Mytilus edulis: one gene and its partners. The protein of the gene in region 1 interacts with the protein of each later gene in a pairwise test. Links are inferred from orthologs where the notes say so. Each region holds a gene or a part of one and is shown on either strand. Other genes may lie near its edges.

The links.
Region 2: the proteins of disks large homolog 1-like (region 1) and potassium voltage-gated channel subfamily A member 1-like interact in binary tests that used the Drosophila melanogaster proteins (3 or more experiments, as listed by UniProt). The link is inferred for Mytilus edulis from reciprocal best matches to the Drosophila melanogaster genes dlg1 and Sh.
Region 3: the proteins of disks large homolog 1-like (region 1) and vang-like protein 2-B interact in a two-hybrid assay, tested with the Drosophila melanogaster proteins (3 studies listed by BioGRID). The link is inferred for Mytilus edulis from reciprocal best matches to the Drosophila melanogaster genes dlg1 and Vang.

What each region holds. Positions count from the first base shown.
Region 1 is NC_092346.1:79,105,713-79,113,254, reverse strand, and holds the start of disks large homolog 1-like, read right to left. Parts: upstream 3,013-7,542; 5' UTR 2,794-3,012; coding exon 2,775-2,793; intron 726-2,774; coding exon 594-725; intron 140-593; coding exon 6-139; intron 1-5. UniProt on the Drosophila melanogaster protein: During embryonic development, some isoforms are essential for proper neuronal differentiation and organization. Required for cell polarity; maintenance of apicobasal polarity.
Region 2 is NC_092350.1:51,923,038-51,930,229, reverse strand, and holds the start of potassium voltage-gated channel subfamily A member 1-like, read left to right. Parts: upstream 1-4,164; 5' UTR 4,165-4,341; coding exon 4,342-4,395; intron 4,396-7,192.
Region 3 is NC_092348.1:7,029,645-7,036,592, reverse strand, and holds the start of vang-like protein 2-B, read right to left. Parts: upstream 3,029-6,948; 5' UTR 2,684-3,028; intron 1-2,683. Other genes in the region: uncharacterized protein, read left to right, coding at 5,741-5,833.

The sequences.
Region 1 (7,542 bases):
ACAACCTCAAGTTTAGGAAGAGCATTGGTGATAGGTGGTTCTCTCTCCCACTTGTTAGCTATCTGTAAGGTCTCCAATGTCTTCTGTTGTATAGATTTTGAGTCATCTAACAATGTATACTCATAAAACTCTTGTATGTCTGAAAACAGAAGTTAGTATCATTTTCAATTAGCTCCATTTATACCAGATACATTTTTTTTTTATTCTAATGTGATAGTACATTATGTAACATTTAAATAGGTTAAAACCATGAACATAATTTTAGCCTCTGTACATGCCAAATTCAGTACTACAGTCCTTGCTTTGTTAAGCAAAGTATAAAACCATTATTATAAATTTGTAATGCAGTAATTATAACTAATACTAAATCAGTAACTTTGTGCAAATCACTTGTTATTGAAATGCAATAATATTCAGTTTTTATATACATGTAGATAATAATAAAGGCCTTAATCATTGCGTATCATGCAAACTAAGTTAATGTGGATCATGTGCATGTACCTTATGTAAAAATGTTGTATTCCAAAAATTGAGCCAATCACTCTGTCTTAAATAAAAGAAGAACTTCCACCTTAAATATTAATTTTACATACCAAGAAGTGCCTGAAATAGGCGACTTTTGAAAATTCTTATGACTTTCTCTATAGCAACCTTGAGCTGGGTGTCTTGTGGAAGACTAAGCCTGGAATGGTAGTCCTCTAACAATTCTAAAGCCCTGTGGGCATCTATGAAAAGAAGAGAAAAAAGAAAAATGCAAAATTGTATTAAACATCTTGTTCGAAAGCAACATTCACCTGTTCGCAGTAACCTCTTCATTTTCAAAGACATAAACAATCAGCCTCAGGTACATGTATCCAGGAAAGCGTAAACCAAAAGATGAAGCTTTCACTGAATACATGTATGTAATCACTAGCACTTACATGAAGTAACAAAAAAATTAGATATTTTGAGAAATTTGCATGTGCATGTAAATTTTTCATAAATCAGATAAGGACTATTCAATTTCAGAAAAAAAGTCAGGCATATTTCCTGAATTTGTTTCATTTTAGTTATAAAATGTTGAATTTGAAAATAAGTTAAAACACTAAAATAGTATAAGATTTAAATTTACTACACGAGCCGTTACTTAAGCATTTTTTAAGTGGTGTGTATAAATTTAAAAGACTATAGCTAGAACATATCAAGAACGCAGATGGGCCAAGTTACAATGGGATATTTTATTTTGCAAGTGGGAGAGAGTTTGAGAACAGTTTCTCACAGACAATATACTTTTTAATTTCTCATATATATTATTAATGGTACAATTTTTTTTAATCGAGGCGATGGTTTGGCCAGTTTGTGCATATAAAAAAGAAGATATGGTATGATTCACTAATATTGCCAATGAAACAACTCTCCACAAGAGATCAAATGACACAGAAATTAACAATTATACACGTAGGTCTTGTTTTCACTAGATTTATAACTCAATTTAAATGTTTCTTTTTTTTGTTTTTTTTTATCTACCTCAATAACATTGTATTTCTGCTGATTGACTCTCTCACACAGAGAACATTGATGAGAACATGTTTTAATCATAAAAGGAATTCAGGTTCTCACAGTAGAGAAAATCTTTCATGGGGAGCAAATGAATTATTTGAGTTAATTCATCAAGAAGATGCATGTTAACTTTTATAGTAAAGCAAAAGCCTTTGCAGTCTTCACGCCGAGTGGCAGCTCAGGCTGGTAAAACTGGTAAAATTTCTCTCAGGCCTGAAAAAATCAGACCTACAGACCAACAGAAACTAACTAAAAAATTTCAAAAATTAAGCTGCGGGCCTGTAAATTTAGCAGTTCAGCGTGAAGACTGTTTTTTGTTGTTGTAATTTTAGAACCAGGGTTAGTTTGCACTTATACCTGTTTGCCCAGATTTTTGTTTTTTATATTGTTGTCTAGTTGCACTATCATGTTCATATAATATTTGAACATGAACAAAGTATGTTACTTTATGTGGAAAAATTTGCTAAAATATTTGTATTGCTGCAACCAAATATTTTCCTTTAGTCTGCATAGTAGAATTTTGGAATACAATGTATTTATCTTTTAATATTGATATCTTTTACAATTTTAATAATTCTAGTCAGTCAATTTATATTATATTATAATGAATGAACTTATGTTTTACAATTCCTACACAATTGTTTTTACTCATTTCAAATTTCAAGCTGACTAAATTATCAAAACAAAATGTTGTTTTTATTATTCATCCATCAAAGACAATTAATTATTATGACAAGCAGTGAGAGATATAGTATTAAGAACAATTACAATTCTCACAAACACGCCATTAATTTTAAATATTTTCATGTGTTTTCATTTATACTAGAATTTATATACCATATAAATATCTGAATAAGTATATTCAACTTTGACACCCTCATACAAATATTTTTCAATAAAAGAATGGAGAAGTTTAATATCCAGGGCGTACAGACTCTATGGGGAAATAGACTCAGGGTGAACAGTCCCTGGGCAAGCATCCTATCAGGGCTAACGGACACAATACCATATATTTACTGCACATTAAGACTGTTTTATTTATGAATTTCAACCTACAGTTGTTCTTTTTTGACATAAGGTCTATGTGATTGAAAAGATAATAAGCAATAATTTGTTGACCAGATATCCCAGATATATTACAATAGTGACTATTGTAATATATAACGTGGTTATAACAATGTGCCTTTTATACACTGATTATATACATATTCATGATAAACAGGAATGCAATGCACCTTGTTTTCTGACCGGCATGTCTTGCGAAAAGCTGGTGTTCTTGTGCTCACACCCACTTCGTGGTTTGCAAGATTCTGTCTATTATTATTTAAGCAATCGCTAGGATGTGATTAATTTATGGCAAACACATTTGTTGCAGTGATTTTTATCTCTTAATTTTATGCAGGATTATTGTTTGGCGACACTTCACGATAATCAGGAAACGACCACAAACAGGAAACAGCAAAGATGGCGGCTATTCAAAACTAATAAATCACGTGATTAAAGGGATCCGCTATTTCAGGATTGTTATACTTATTTTCTATTTATAATTTCCAAATGTTTTTATATTTTGTGAAAATTCAAAATGTTTGTTTCAAAATGGATTTTTTTTGTAGTGTTTACAATGAACGGTGAGCTTAACCAATATAATAATCTTAAAAAATTGATTCCTCCTGAGGCTCAAATCCGAAATTCCGAAAGAACGAAACATGGAGGTGTCCTCTTAGAGGTCCGCGTTTAGACTCACCCAAATACCAACACGACTTCTTTTAAACATGACAACAAATGAATTCTGAGCATAAGAGTCAGTTGATCTTAAACGATAAATATGTTTTATATTAGATAAAAACATGTTTTCGTATTTTTGATAAGGCAGCAACCATTTGATTTTCGGGGGGGGGGGGGGGGGGGGACAATTTTTTTTTTGCCTGCTGCGAAAAACAATCTATTTTTTTCACAGGTGCTTGAGGACAGGATCCTGTATGAGCCCCAAATAGTCCCTCCCCCTTTTTTTAAATTTTTTTTTTAATCATAAATCTCAGATTTGTCTATATATATCCCTTATTTGTACCATATATATACTAATATACCATATTTATACTATTGATAGTAAACATGCATATTTAGAGTATAAATATGGTATATTAGTATATATATGGTACAAATAAGGGATATATATAGAAAAATCTGAGATTTATGATTAAAAAAAAAAAATTTTAAAAAAGGGGGAGGGACTATTTGGGGCTCATACAGGATCCTGTCCTCAAGCACCTGTGATTTTTTTCGCGACAAGTCGAAAACATCTTTTTTCTTTCAATTTTAGCATTACATATAGTGGCAGCTGAGGGTGAAACAAACATTTTTTTTTTCTCAGAATCAAAAACAAATGATTTTTTTTCTCCAAAAAATGGAAACAAACTTTTTTTTCCAAAAAAAAACATAGCCCCCCCCCCCCCCCCCCCCAGAAAATCAAATGCTTGCTGCCTTAGCAGAGAAGCCAATTCTATACACCTGATCGCTATTTAGTCCATTCCGGGAAAAACAGTCATTTATACAACTTCCTGTTTGGGTCACCGGCCAAAAAATGGAGGTCACCAGTAGTGAGCTGAGGGAGAAAAAAAATTAGAAAGTGATCATCAAGAAACTTTGATATAGTATGATCCACTTTTTTCGAAATTAAAATTGAAGTAAAAAAAATATTTTGTTTGAAGTATTTACGGTAGTTTAAACAGGTCTCATTAAAAAGTATCATGCATGGTGAATTGTTTAAACAGGGTCCAAGATAGCTTCAACTGGATGAAAAAGTTGTGTAATTTTAGAACTTATCCGGAATGGAATAAATAGCGATTAGGTGTATTATATGGTAATGAGATGTGGAGTTTCTCGAAAAAGTAACCCCCAGATAATATTGCTTTTTTTTTTAATCTTGAGCAAAGAAAGTTGATTAAAAATATGTAACTGTTTATCACTGTGAACAAAAACATAAATATTGGTGGAATGGGAGAGGTTTGGCGTTATTCACTGTTCTAGAAACAATTCATGAAATGTTAGAGTACTGAAAATTGTGATACATTGTTATCTGCATCATTGTTGGAATCATCACAGTTACATGAGCAGGACAAATTTTCATGGCTAGGAATCATCCATTCAATTTTTATTTTTTTTTAATTATTCACTGACTGACTATTATAAATATGTGGTATGAGTGCCAATGAGACAACTCTCCATCCAAATAACAATTTATAAATGTAAACCATTATAGGTCCAGGTACGGCCTTCAACACAGAGCCTTGGCTCACACCGAAAAGCAAGCTATAAAGGGCACCAACAATTAGTAATGTAAAACCATTCAAACGGGAAAACCAACGGTCTAAGTTATATAAAAATGACTGATTGGATTAAAAAAAAAATTGTTATACAGGTAAAAACGATTATAAACATATGTTTTAAACCTACGATATTAATTCAAACAGACCTGAAAAAATACAATTGCACGAGTACTCAGTTCGCTATCTATTTTAAGTTAAATCGGGTTATATGATCGTCGGCAGTCTTCTGAGATTACCTCGATGCTTACTGATTAGATGGCATTTAGACTAAAATACACATGAAATATTGATACATATGATCGAGTCCGTGCATCGTCAATTGTGTAGTTTAAACTTTTTATTATTTGGGTATACGTTTTAGTATGTATAATTTAAATATGAGAATTTGAGTCAAATCAGTTAAAACTTTTAACAGCTAATTACCCTTTTATGCAAATGGTAAATGACATATATTCTTAATATCCAGCTAAGTCACATTACAAACAATTATGACATAAGGATAAATGGATCTGGACCACAATGAATATACACTTGGGCGGTCTACAACATAGCTGTGTGATTTCGGAGGATATGAAACAGCACAAAACTTCCTGATAGGGCGCCACTGTATAAACGGCACAAACCATGCGTTCCAGAAATAACGAAAGAACAAGTGGTACAAAAAAATCAACACGGCAACGTTACTCACACAGCGGGATGCAAATTGATCAAATTAAACCCGTTAAAAATTCGAAGCAGTTGCTGGTTCCATCCACCAGAAAAAGAAAATGGAAGAACAGCATTCTTGGCAGCAGACAACCGTTGAACCAAGAAGCACACAGAGAATATTACAGCTGTGCATGTCATAAATGTTTAGAGGTGTAAAAGCGTTGACCGAAGTACATTTTGTATGAAGCGAGGAAGGATCATGAAAACACGACTGTTAAAGTTTTTCTTTTATTTACCTGTGTACTTAATAGAAGTATCTCTTGTCATCACGAATGTTATATTTCCGATGATTTGGAAATTAAGGTTGATTTCTGAATGACGTGAGATTGCTGGTAGACAATAGGAATAACGTATCAAAATGAAACATACAGTCATGTACTGTAATTATTTCCATTTGAAGATTTCTGTATACAAACTGGATAGTGCATTACAACAGGCACGTATGCTGCAAGAAGAAGATATTGAAGAAGCACAAGAAGATGAAGAAGATATCTTTTGGTTAAAATTTGTACATGTTGTACACAACAAAGGTTTTATTTATATGTGAAGATGTTTGATGTGACTCAGATATTTGAATATTTTCTCGGATCTCCGAAACAGTCAAGTGTAGTTCAATTTAATAAAACTACATGCTAAAGGTTTCATTTTGATATTGTTCCATTGTTATATATTTTTTACCATTAATTGATATAATCGTCTGTTAAAAGTGTATAAATATTGCTTAGCTCCATACTATAATTCAATTGAGTATAAACAAGTATATAAGATGCAACAAATCCTCAATCATGCACCAACAATAAACTTTTCAAGCCTTGATAGAAACAAATGTACACAAATATAACAACTGGCAAACTTTCCAAGCCTTGATAGAAACAAATGTACACAAATATAACAACTGGCAAACTTTCCAAGCCTTGATAGAAACAAATGTACACAAATATATCAACTGGCAAACTTTTCAAACCTTGACAGAAACAAATGTACACAAATATATAACAACTGGCAAACTTGTCAAGCCTTGACAGAAACAAATGTACACAAATATAACAACTGGCAAACCCAACAATAAACTTTTCAAGCCTTGATAGAAACAAATGTGCACAAATATAACAACTGGCAAACTTTTCAAGCTTTGATAGAAACAAATGTACACAAATATAACAACTGGCAAACCCAACAATAAACTTTTCAAGCCTTGATAGAAACAAATGTACACAAATATAACAACTGGCAAACCAACAACAAACTTTTCAAGCCTTGATAGAAACAAATGTACACAAATATAACAACTGGCAAACTTTTCAAGCCTTGGTAGAAACAAATGTACACAAATATAACAACTGGCAAACCCAACAATAAACTTTTCAAGCCTTGATAGAAACAAATGTACACAAATATAACAACTGGCAAACCCAACAATAAACTTTTCAAGCCTTGATAGAAACAAATGTACACAAATATAACAACTGGCAAACTTTTCTAGCCTTGATAGAAACAAATGTACACAAATCATGACAACTGGCAAACTTCCCAAGCGTTATATATGCTTTTTAATTAACCGACTTAGTATACATTTTATTTGAGTTATTTGATTTTATTTGATTCGATCTTTCTCTGAATAAAGTCATACGCATGTCTTTCAAATGAACGTATGTGATAAAAATTTACGAAGCAAGAGTCTACTGAATAGACAAGTTCCTCAGCGGACTGTAATAGCACCAATACTCTCAGTTCTCCATGTTCTAGTATGATATTAACGACCTTCTTGGTAACAGTAAAATAAGACTCTTTGCAGACGACAGCATTATCTATCGGCATATAACCTACCAAAATGATTGCATTAAGCTTCAATTTAAGAAGACATCAAAGCAGCAATAAAACAAGAACGTGTCCAAAGTACACGGATGCCCCACTCGCACTATCATTTTCCATGTTCAATAGACCATGAAATTGGGTAAAATTAATCAAA
Region 2 (7,192 bases), on another chromosome or scaffold:
ATGGATGGAGAGTTGTCTAATTGGCACTCATAACCACATCTTTTCAGATCTATGTTCACCATTAGTTTTGTAGATAAATATACTAAAGGATCCTACATCAAAATGTCTAATGACAGAATATACAAATGTATAAAGAGAGCTGTTTATGGGAAAACATAAATTATACCCATTTAGGTAGGTGGCCTAAAAAGACTCTACCCAAAACCAAACCTACCCTGAATATAAATTCATAATAGCCATCTAGTAGGTGGCCTAAGTTGGAAACACTCTGAATTAACACCTTCATAGAAAGACAAAAAGACTCCATCCCAAACCAAACCCACACTATAAATTATACCCATTTAGTAGGTGGCCTAAAGACTCCACCCAAAACCAAACCCACACTATAAATTATACCCATTTAGTAGGTGGCCTAAAAACTCCACCCAAAACCAAACCCACACTATAAATTATAGCCATTTAGCAGGCAGCCTAAAGACTCTACCCCAAACCAAACACACACTATAAATTATAGCCATTTAGTTGGTGGCCTACAGACTCCACCCCAAACTAAACCCACACTATAAATTATAGCCATATAGTAGGTGGCCTAAAGACTCCACCCCAAACCAAACCCTAACTATAAATTATAGCCATTTAGTAGGTGGCCTAAAGACTCCACCCCAAACCAAACCCACACTATAAATTATAGCCATTTAGTAGGTGGCCTAAAGACTCTACCCCAAACCAAACCCACACTATAAATTATAGCCATTTAGTAGGTGGCCTAAAGACTCCACCCCAAACTAAACCCACACTATAAATTATAGCCATTTAGTAGGTGGCCTAAAGACTCCACACCAAACCAAATACACACTATAAATTATAGCCATTTAGTAGGTGGCCTAAAGACTCCATCCCAAACCAATCCCGCACTATAAATTATAGCCATTTAGTAGGTGGCCTAAAGACTCCACCCCAAACTAAACCCACACTATAAATTATAGCCATTTAGTAGGTGGCCTAAAGACTCTACCCCAAACCAAACCCACACTATAAATTATAGCCATTTAGTAGGTGGCCTAAAGACTCCACCCCAAACTAAACCCACACTATAAATTATAGCCATTTAGTAGGTGGCCTAAAGACTCCACACCAAACCAAACCCACTATAAATTATAGCCATTTAGTAGGTGGCCTAAAGACTCCACCCCAAACTAAACCCACACTATAAATTATAGCCATTTAGTAGGTGGCCTAAAGACTCCACCCCAAACCAAACCCACACTATAAATTATAGCCATTTAGTAGGTGGCCTAAAGACTCCATCCCAAACCAAACCCACACTATAAATTATACCCGTTTAGTAGGTGGCCTAAAGACTCCACCCCAAACCAATCCCACACTATAAATTATACCCGTTTAGTAGGTGGCCTAAAGACTCCATCCCAAACCAAACCAACACTATAAATTATAGCCATTTAGTAGGTGGCCTAAAGACTCCACCCCAAACTAAACCCACACTATAAATTATAGCCATTTAGTAGGTGGCCCAAAGACTCCACCCCAAACCAAACCCACACTATAAATTATAGCCATTTAGTAGGTGGCCTAAAGACTCCATCCCAAACCAAACCCACACTATAAATTATACCCGTTTAGTAGGTGGCCTAAAGACTCCACCCCAAACCAAACCCACACTATAAATTATAGCCATTTAGTAGGTGGCCTAAAGACTCCATCCCAAACCAATCCCGCACTATAAATTATAGCCATTTAGTAGGTGGCCTAAAGACTCCACCCCAAACTAAACCCACACTATAAATTATAGCCATTTAGTAGGTGGCCTAAAGACTCTACCCCAAACCAAACCCACACTATAAATTATAGCCATTTAGTAGGTGGCCTAAAGACTCCACCCCAAACTAAACCCACACTATAAATTATAGCCATTTAGTAGGTGGCCTAAAGACTCCACACCAAACCAAACCCACTATAAATTATAGCCATTTAGTAGGTGGCCTAAAGACTCCACCCCAAACTAAACCCACACTATAAATTATAGCCATTTAGTAGGTGGCCTAAAGACTCCACCCCAAACCAAACCCACACTATAAATTATAGCCATTTAGTAGGTGGCCTAAAGACTCCATCCCAAACCAAACCCACACTATAAATTATACCCGTTTAGTAGGTGGCCTAAAGACTCCACCCCAAACCAATCCCACACTATAAATTATACCCGTTTAGTAGGTGGCCTAAAGACTCCATCCCAAACCAAACCAACACTATAAATTATAGCCATTTAGTAGGTGGCCTAAAGACTCCACCCCAAACTAAACCCACACTATAAATTATAGCCATTTAGTAGGTGGCCTAAAGACTCCACACCAAACCAAATACACACTATAAATTATAGCCATTTAGTAGGTGGCCTAAAGACTCCATCCCAAACCAATCCCACACTATAAATTATAGCCATTTAGTAGGTGGCCTAAAGACTCCACCCCAAACTAAACCCACACTATAAATTATAGCCATTTAGTAGGTGGCCTAAAGACTCTACCCCAAACCAAACCCACACTATAAATTATAGCCATTTAGTAGGTGGCCTAAAGACTCCACACCAAACTAAACCCACACTATAAATTATAGCCATTTAGTAGGTGGCCTAAAGACTCCACACCAAACCAAACCCACACTATAAATTATAGCCATTTAGTAGGTGGCCTAAAGACTCCACACCAAACCAAACCCACACTATAAATTATAGCCATTTAGTAGGTGGCCTAAGTATGAAACACTCTGGTAATGATGTAGCATATGTGAGACAACAGTAAAACTGACAAGGAGATGGCTTCACTCCAATACTGGTATTTATCACCCATCAATAAACATATCACTCAGTGTTGTCTACGTATACAAAACATAGATATGGTAACAATTATCATTAATAAACACCATCATCTCTCCGATGATCTTAATACATCATATACTGTCTACATACTGATTAAATAACAACTTTTTTTTACACCCTTGGCCTTTTTTAAATAATTTTTCAATACCTTTGACACAGTAATACAAGAGATTAAAAGCAAAACTGTATACATGATAAAAACATTTGTTTTTCTTGCTGTGAAAAATAAATCAGTGGCAATTAGTTTTACATTTTAGAATATAGATGCCCAATAGGCAAATGATAGATAATGTTCTTGATTACATGTAGCCTGAATCAAGCAACCTTTCACTATAACAATAAGCATGGTCTAACTTTGAACATAGACCTAAACTGCTGGTTTTGTTACCAGTCCCAATAAATTTAATCTGCTTACTGTAGCCACTTTGAAAATAATGGTTGTGGTCTAAAGCACAACACTTGATTCATAACACTAAACAACAATTAAGTAATGACTTAAAGACTAATATCTTGAAAAACTGACCACACTATGTCAGCTTGGCTTAAGAATAATGGCTCTTCAGTCATAATAACCGACAAATTAGTTAAGCTTTGCCTAATCCTATACATCAAAAACATCATATTCTTTCATAAGTTGGTAGAGTAACTCATATACTTTTTCACTCTCTCTGCCAAATAGTTAACACACATTGCTTGTTTTATGTATTTTTTTTTTACATCTAATGTTCACTTCTGGTCCAAATACCTCTTGTTCATGAATTAAAGCATCTACATGTATTTGTGCCATATCTAAACTATGATGTTTTAGGAAGTATCTGGTTGTCAAAATGCCACAATCTTAATATCTGTGTTCTCTGGTGTGTTGATGCATTTGAAATTTATGACATGGAATATGCTTCATGCACCTGTATCATACTATTCGTGCATAATGTGCACTGTAGTTGTGTAATGAACCGAGGTCATACCATTTGACTGGACGTCTGCTTTTTCACTATTTGTTGGAAAGTATATGATCAAAGAGAAATTCATTGGCTATAATTCCTTGTCAGTTTGTGATATTTAAATGGTTTAGACTTAACCTTACAGCATAAATCATAATTAATTCTCCTAAAGTACATCTCATTGACAAATTATCTAACAGCTGATCGCTACAACTTGGCGCTATTCACTTGCCAAAGTATAACATTGTTGCATATGAGCAAACAACAGCTATAAATTTTCAACTTTTTTTATCTTTTTTACAAAAAAGTACAATTGCATGTACTTTTGACATATGACTTTTCAGCTTAATGTGAATACTGTACAACCTAAGGATGCTTCATACATGTATCATTCAACGATTCCCCTAATTGTTTCTAGTGTTGATCAAATGATGCTGTCAAAATGTGCGTTGCATTAGATAGGAAATTCTTGTGATTCCCTGTCAGTGCCTGGTGACATTTATTATGATGTTCAATAGGCTCGGTGGAATTTTCTTCTGGGGAAGCAGTGGTGATGAGGTAAGAGCTTGTTTACCTTTTATTTAAGTACGGGGACTTAGTTTTACTTGTCGGATACCAATTTTTGTGGATTTCATAGGTACAGGTAAACCATAAGTTTAAATGTTAAAATAATCGTAAATTTTCTATAGGAGGGTGTGCAGACTTTGTGGCAAAACCTTGAAATCTAATATCCACTTTTTAAAAACCTACTGTTGAAGAAGGGACCTGTTACCATATTCAATGTTTGTCAGTTAAGGTCAAAAACAAAAGCTGACATTTCTTAAAAAAATTGCATGTATATTTAGCAATTTGCATATATCAATAATTAATTTACATAATGATCAACTAAGGACCAACTGTTGTATTAATATTACATAACTTTGATTTTTTTTAAAATAAAACAAATAAAGATACAATTTTGTAAAAAATAAAATTGAGAATGGAAATGGGGAATGTGCCAAAGAAACAACAACCCGACCATAGAAAAAAACAACAGCAGAAGGTCACCAACAGGTCTTCAATGTAGCGAGAAATTCCCCCACCCAGAGGCGTCCTTCAACTGGCCCCTAAACAAATATATACTAGTTCAGTTTTAAAATAAGTTTACTAATAAGGATTATCCTAAAAACTACCTTAAAACCTACCAAAAACTGAATTAAAACACTGTCGTTTGAAATAAATAATTTTCCCGCTCTTTTTCCAACTATGTCTCACATTTTCTATTTTTAGCTGCATGATTTTAAGAGGATCACACATTTATATAAATAATTAAGACTTCTCTCAGACTGACTTATGACATCTGCTTATGATCTATAATGTAACAAAGTAAATCACATGGAAAGTCTAAAGGAACTAAAAATTAATTACTGCATACTTGTAAGAATCTGCCACTTGTTTTATTGATCTTATGCTTTGCATGTATACATGTCTCTCTATTTATAATTTTGACGGTAATGTAAGCAGGATCATACAGGACTTTTTGTGCCTACCATTGGATTTTTGAATTTGCTTCTCAAAAATAAAATAAACATACAAAAGTTTTCTTTAATTTTCCTCTTATAAAAATTCTGTCTTTAAATGTTAAGAATACAGAAATGCTTTATTATCATTGGTTCAATTGAACCAGAGGATTTATTGATACATGAACTCAGAAAACCCTTAGCAAGGCCCCTCACCTGAATTCCAACAATAATGAAAAGAGTATGCCTTGTATATTTATGTTACTAATTCCATTTTTACCATAGTAATGCATCCCAGACTTTTGACTTTCTCCGCCAAAATCATCATAGCATATACGTCATACATTGAAGTTATGACGTTTGATATTATCTTACGAGTATAACAGTTACATTGCTTTATTGTCAAGGGCTGAAGATCATTTACACTTGACCACAGGGCCAATTGCCCTTATTACACCGCATGTTGACTATTGAAACACATACTGTACACATAGAACATACCTTGCCAGTTGTAGTCTTATATCTGAATGCTTTTTCTTTTAAATTTGTTGTCAGTAGCAGATCTTTTACATGTTTTATGGAATCTGCGTAATTTATTTCTAACTTATAAATTATTGATTAGGAACACTTTGGAGCTTCAATGACAAGTTAATGTTTGTATTTTCGAAGTCAATAGACCATGACTAAGGGGGCGGGGCCAAATTATCTCCATGGAAATGAGATATGCCAATGTTTATACAACTGCATACCAAATATGATTGACCTTCCCCTTGTGGTTTACCATAATTAAACTAGTGCTAATCACAAACTAATACATTGTTGACGCCGTCGCCGGAAACAGCATACCTATGTCTCGCTTTTTGACTCTGTCAAGGCGAGACAAAAATTAGTACATTTTAGTTGTCTGACCAAAACAAGTTGAACAAGTTGATGATATTATTAAGAAAAACAGACAATTTCAGAATTTTGTTGTTGAACTTCAACAATCTGTAACAGATGTCGCTATTTTTTAAACATTTGAATTGCTATAGTAAGTCAAATATGGATTCAACCTATAATACTATGGATATACAATACACAAAATAACAATCATGTTCAAAAACCCCCATCTGTTCTGATACAATATAGATATATTTTGGTATGCAACTGGATAGGTTAAATAATAAATTGATTAGCACTGATGTGATCTTGTCTGACAGATGTAAGTCATGCTTATTGATACATAGTTTAAAAGATCAACATAGGGATCAATCTTCTACAGCAAACACGGATCTGTTTACTGCCAAATTTCAAATGTAACTCAAAAGGAAAGTTGTGCTTACTACAAATATTTACTGCTTGTTTACAGGAATTTGTTTGAATTCATAAATTATGCATGAAAGGTGGACATATGGTTTAATAAATACAAGGTATATCATTGTTCCAAAATCAATCTATCAATAACTGCTGTGACCTTCACCTTTGACCTTATAATTCAAAAATCCATAGGGGTCTGTCTTCTTCCTTCTCTTATTGGATTACAAACGAGTCTGAAACCAAACCATGATTGATAGATATCATATTTTGTTCAAATGACATCCTTTTAAAATCAAATGTTGCCACAATTTCTGTGTCAAATGTATTTGTAACCATGACCTTTGACCTTGTAATCTTTAGGTCACTAGAACTTTTTTTTTCATTCCATGAAGGCATTATCAACCCAAATTTTATAAAAGATTCATTAAGGCGTAAACAAATCTTGTCAAGAAACCAAAATATTGACATCTGGATACTCAAACCACCTTGAGCAATAATAGAAATCATCATATATAATAAATTTTTAAAACCTATTATGAATCTACCCTGTGCAAACCTTA
Region 3 (6,948 bases), on another chromosome or scaffold:
ATGAAAATTTTAAATTTCTGTAATAAATCAATAAAATTATGACTTAAGAAAATGCCTGTATATATATATATTCAAACATATATGTCACATATGATACAATTAGAAAAGTGCTCATTTAGAGATTCAAGTACAAATATGACATTTTTGTTCCTTTGATATTTGCAGATTTCTAAAAATATGAAATTACCAAAGCAAGCAATTGCCAGTCTAAAATTTGTACATCATAAAACACAAACATTAAAATTTCAATTGACACACATGTTGAATTTTATGTACAAATGTACATGTTTTATACCTGTACAATTTCCAAATTCAGATTTGTTTATGAAGAGAAAGCACTTTGTCTATTACTTTTTATTTAGCCCTGTACGTATATACATGTTTTTTCTTTAATTTGAACAACTTATCAAGCACTGTCAAGACTGTTCATTTCTTATGGTGTGTTGCTAAATTTTAATTTGTTGACAACTCTGGGAAAAGTTTACACTATTCTTTAAAACATAGAAAAATTAGTAGATCTCAAATTTCATTTACAAAGTTATACATTATAAAACAATACTATCATAATATCTAAAAAAAAAAAAAAATTAATTATGAAAACTTAAAGACACTTTTCAACTTTTTTTTTACAAATATATACATGCATTAAATCTAAAAAAAAATTAAGGAGCCAAAATCGGTAATACATGTACCTCACTCCTTAAAGTGAGCACTGAATGTATGAATTATATTTTGTACATATCAAAAAGAAGTACACACTGTTCTCACAAAAACATGATTTATCGATACACTTGAACAGGGCTACACAGTATTGTTTTTCCTTGATGAAACAAAACCTCCCAATTTTGCATTTATATCTTCAACTTCCCAATTAATTTGAGCCAAAATTTTATATAGACAAAAACATGATGGGGTTAGTCTTAATATTATGTTTCAGATCCTAAGCAGCTTAATATGTCAACAAGCAATCATACCACATCTTCTTTTTTATAGTTGATACTTTCCAACGTATTATACTTATAAATATAACATTAACTTTGACATGTATGGTCACTGCTGTTACTGGTATATATGTATAAAGTAAATAACAAAGACAACAGTCATCAAGTTACAATAGATGACTGCACATTTCATTTATGATACATCTTTATGCAGATAAAAGTATGTTTAACAACATTTGTTCTGATTATCAAATTAAACCTGGAGTCGTTCATCTGGCACCTAGTGTGTATTAATAATATTGACTTAATCCAAGAAACAGATAAGTACAACTGTATGTACAGTTGTACTTAACCTTTAAGAACTCTTTCAGGGGTCAAAATGATCTCTAAATTGTATTAATTTAGGGGCTCAGAGCTTACCACAACAGAGAGTGGGATTACTACCCTAATTTTCAACTCCATTCTTGAAATTTTGTTTAAAAAAGTCTCTGTCCCCTTGATTTGCAGTTAAATACCTCATGATTATTTAATTTGATCCAAGTTTGATACATTTAGAGATAATATTGTTGCATTAATTACAGTCATAGTGGGTACTACTGATGGCACTTCCAGTCTTCACACTGAATGGCAGCCCAGGCTTGTAAAATTTCTCTCGGGCCTGTTAAAATCATATCTACAGGCCAATAGAATCTAATTAATTTTTTTCAAAAATTGAGCTCCGGGCCTCTAGATTTAACAGTTCATCGTGAAGACTGCACTTCAGGTGACAGAAGTCAAAATTTGATCATTTGAATTTTAATTTTTCATAAATGAAAAAAAAAAATCTATAAGAGGGGAGAAAGATATATATCAGAGGGACTATACCGTACCGTATGGGGTTTAAACTAAGGTTGGTCATGTAAATTATTTACTGAAACCCTCATACACTTTTAAATGGCCTTGTAAATCATTTCTGATATACATGTATGTTTACATGGCAATATTATTTCGACATGTTGTTGAATTTGCAAAACATAACAAAATAAATATTGTAATATGGGAATACTTATTTTTACCAGCTTTATTATAAAACTTAATTGAAGCAGATGTAAATGTTGTGGTGGTCAGAGAGAAGGGGTACATGTTTTTAGAAAATACTGTACATGCATGTACACCAATAACTGAGGGTCGTAATAAGGGTACCTTCATGACGAATAACAGTAAAAAATCTTGCAAAATGACGTTAACAGTTATTTTTGGTGAATGACGATAAAATGTAGACTTTCTTTCAGATGATAAAAACATTGACTGATATTGACGAATCAGATTATTTTTTTTTCAAAATTAACGGTAACGATAATCATTTGAGACGAATAATGAATCACTGTAAATTTTAAACCAATATGACGATAAACAGGTGCCAAAAATGACTTGACACTTGACGTCAAAGGGCATTACTACCCTCATAACTGCTTCATAAATGCATCTGAAAAATTATGTGGTATATATACATTTGTACATGTACTATTTATCTATTACTCAGCAACAAGCAGGACGATGTCGATGCTATAAACTACTTAATACGAGGGTGTTTTAATACATAGATATTTCTTTGTGTAGGATATACAGGAATAAAGACTAAAACGACCGCGAATAATATTAAGAATTATGTACAATTGAAATGTTGTTCGACTACCGGAGTACCGCCGGTGGTGAATCACTTGAGATTCCTTGTAAGCTGAGGAGCTTCAAACTTTACTTACCAAAACTTCTACATAAATCTGTGACAATTAATGGAAACCTTAATCCACAATCCCATTTGCCTTAATGTCAAAGCATTGGATATTTCAATTCAAAATTTCGCTTTGTTTTCTAATGAACTATTCAAATTTCAGGAGACCATTTTGCTTTTGAATTTGCTATTGTGTAACCCACCCGCCAAAACTTGGAACAAAATAAAACGTATTCGTTAGAAAATAACTCCAAAAAAAAGTAACCACCTGTAAAACAACTAAACGAGAAAATTATAGTGCAGCAAAAGGATGAATAAAATTAAAGAATGAACTGAAAATGTGAAATAATGATTTAAATATGTGTGGGAGGTCAACAGAAGAGCTACATATCCGGTTAAATGGGACTTCCGGTGCATCTTTAAGCTGTCTGTGTACACCAAGGGCTACAAGTTTTTAGCTGTTTAGAGAAGGCCGAACAGAATATCCAGACATCAAAGTTAAAGGTATTAAAAGAATTTAATGAGAAGAAATAAAAATCGATCTATTTAAGCGTTGTCACATAGTCATAGTCATAAAATGTCCACCTGAATATAGGAAAAGGGGGGGGGGGGGGGATTTTGGTTTGTAAACCCCCCCATTGACAGAAACAAGTGCATGTGGGTTGAGGGGAAGACACCATCACCATTGTTCTCTCTGGACGACATGATTAAATTTTATATCAAAACGATATATGTCATACATCAGAGCAACAACCTTTTAAAATAAATTTATTACTAAGAATATTATAGACCAACAAGTCTGTTACAACAAACGAGCATTCATAGTTCCAAATAGCCAGACTGAATAGTTCAAAAACTCCACATTTGTACCCGGAGGACACATTAGTGTGTGTCACTTTAACTGAGGAGTTTCAAACAGCACTACTCAGCAAGCACGATTAAATCGTGCGCACAACAGCCCATCACACAATAGCTGGAAGGAATCTGTGATGCACTTAACCATATACAGAGGTGGAAAATACAGATGCATAGTGTACAAACTAATGATAAACTGACATTACAATACAACACATGCAATAAGTTACAACCCTTCATGAACTTCTTCCTTTGTATATCTGTATTCAAAAAAGGATAATGACATTGAAACAAGAAGTTATGCATAAAACTTTTCAAGGAGTCTGGAGAAAAGTCTAAACCTTTGTAAACAGGTCAAACAAAGAATTTGTATTACTTTTGATTTGTGTTTTAAAAAAAAGTTGATCATAATCTATTAAAGTTTCAAAATATTTGCTTTCTAAACTACATGTATGCTTTCCTTTAAAAGCTCATTACTGGTGACCTTTGTTTTTGAAACACTTGACCCAAATATAAAGTTGTTGAAGACTGAAATGACTGTTTTTTTCCCCAGATTGGACTAAATAGCAATACAAATAAAGTACCGCAAGCAATACTGGTGTCATCACCTTGTTTATAATAATTATGTCCTTAGCTTCCAGTGATCGGGAAGGACGTGCGCCCTGCGCCTATAGCGCATATTGACCAGAAATGGCGCATAGAGTGACAAATGTAAGGGCCCACGTGGCGCACAATATTTTTCACATCGTTTCGAAAAGTTTAGATATCGTCAAATGGATTTCATATCGTTTTCCGTGCCGCCATGTGTGTGTTTACAACTGTATAATGTTCCTCCAATCATTGGAGCACCAATATATTTTTGGGACGTCCCGGGTGTTTTCCTATGGTAATAGAACCATGCGGTTTTAAGTCTCGGGTGTTTTTCTATGGTAATAATAGAACCATGCGGTCTAAATGATAACCCAAAAAACGTAATTAACCATCATTCATGATATAACTTTTTATAAACAACTTTAAATTTATGAAATTTGGCTATTACAGACGAGATGTAACTCTAATCTTTTAATTTAGTTTAGCTTGCTATTATTTCGATTGAAAAAAACCCAAGTCTTTTTATGAATATAGTTTTTGTCTCCATAAAAGGCGCTTAACTGTCCTTGTCATTTTTTTGGTCTTTGGCTCGTTTTGACATTTTGTAAACATGACCTCAGCAAATAATTGTTTTGTTCTAACAATAATGGTACTCTCTGCTGTTAATCTTGTCAACGTGATGAAGTAATAATAATAATACAAGAAGTGCCTGAAATGTTCTCTAATACGGAACGTCTGCAATAAGTATGGTATCGACGAAGACCCAAATTTAATGTTAAAAATAAACAACCATGAACATGAACAAGCCAAGGCAACAGTACCAGTTTAAACTTTGTAATTTACAGATTATCTTTAATATTGTCTGTTTTGGAAGAAGTTATTGTATATTCTATTTCATTGAAATTACCGAATCACAGGAACAATATCCATGATATTATTTAAAATAATCAAGGTAAGTACCAACACCTCTTTGCCAAAAAATAATGATAATTTTTATTTTTTTACAGAAGTCAATTCAAATGGCCCAACCATTTGACAACATGGCCCATTATCTTTAAAAATGGCCCATTGAATTTATTTTTGAGGGGCCCTGGGCCCATAGTGAAAAAAACCTTCCAGATCACTGAGCTTCTCATCCCAGTCAAAACAGAAAAAAAGTATTGTCCTATGCAGGATTTTTCTTTACTTTGAATGAATTTTGAATTATTTTCATTTTGTTGTTTTCAAAACAGTCGTACACCCACTTGAAGGATTTTTTGAATGTTTTTAATTGGACATGAATAAAGAGGGGTGAAAGATACCAGATGGACATTCAAAAACATGATTTAAAGGGATAAATGTAAGTGAGATAGTAACTCAAAATTAAATTAGAGTAAGCATCCTAACAATTTATTGTCTTTACCATACATACAAATTAAACCCTAAATGGATAGAAAATGGACATTTTGTTGTAAGACTTTATGTTTCAGTTAATATTATAATACTACATATATGACATAAGACTACAATACATAAGAGTCTAAAAAAAAAAAAAATTCAACAAAACTTTGGTACAGAATTATTTTATATAATTTATAAAAGGATAGGATTTACAGGCTTTATTTATAATTGAAATTATTCATGTTTTCTTTTTCACAGGAAAATGTCACCACCAGAGCCCAAAGAATTCCTACCTGGAGTACCAGATTGGAGCACAGTACATGAACCATCTGGAGATCTGTTTAAGCCTATTACAGTGAGTGTTAATGCAACTAATAATATTTTAATGATTATTGTCTTGTCACAAGTTGTGTACTATTATTTGTCTGTTTGTCTTTCTCATTTTTATCCATGGCATTGTCAGTTTATTTTCAATCTATGATTTTGAATGTCCCTCTGGTATCTTTCGCTCCTTTTCTATCTCTACCTGAATCCTGTTTATAAGATGTTTTCAAACATAAACCTAGTTTTAAAGATGGACAGCGATTAAAATTTATTCACACAATGTCATTTTCACATGAAATCAACAATGTAAGTCTTAGTTAACTTAACATATAAATTATGTGGGATATGCTCAGAATTATCCAAGATACTGGAACAACAGACATTTGTGCATGTGCTTGTTATGTTACAAATAAAGGATAAAACAGTCAGTCACTGCTAAATTGACAACAACATTTAGTGTTACTGAACACATTTGAAGTGTATAAAGTCTACAATTTAATTTCTTCTACTCTTTTGACAACCCTGCATACCATCAGTATCCATTTAAGGGGGCTCGCGGGTCTAAATCAATTTTTTTATTTAATATAGGATTTCGCTATATTTTTCTATAAAAGAACTTTATTCTATTCTTAATAGAAAAAATAAATAAAAAAATGGGGTCACCGTTCATTTACGCTCACAATCTGGCTTCGAAAGAAGCATACATTTTTGTTAATGTCCTTTTTTTCTGTTGAACTAATAGGAGAAAAAGCGGTAATATCGAAATAAAAAAAGAACTAAATTACAGAAATCGTTTAAATTTTACAATTATTTAGTTTATGTACAGCTAATTCGAAAACAACAATAAAAAATATAGGTCACCGATGAGTTAAAAAAGATATTTCAATTTAAATGCCAAAAAATGGCATTTTTGCACCAAAGGGAGATAATTTGGAGCTTTTTCAATGATATCTACAATTTAAATGTCACCTGGGACCAACACGAATTGAGTTTTTGGAATGATTTTTGTACCATATGATAAAGAAACAACTACTAAAGGTAATTAATAAAATTTGTAATGAAAAATAAATGTTAAATTTTTTTCTGAAAATTTTATATCCGCGAGCCTCCTTAAGAAATCTCTACCTTCACCAAACTTTAGAGGCA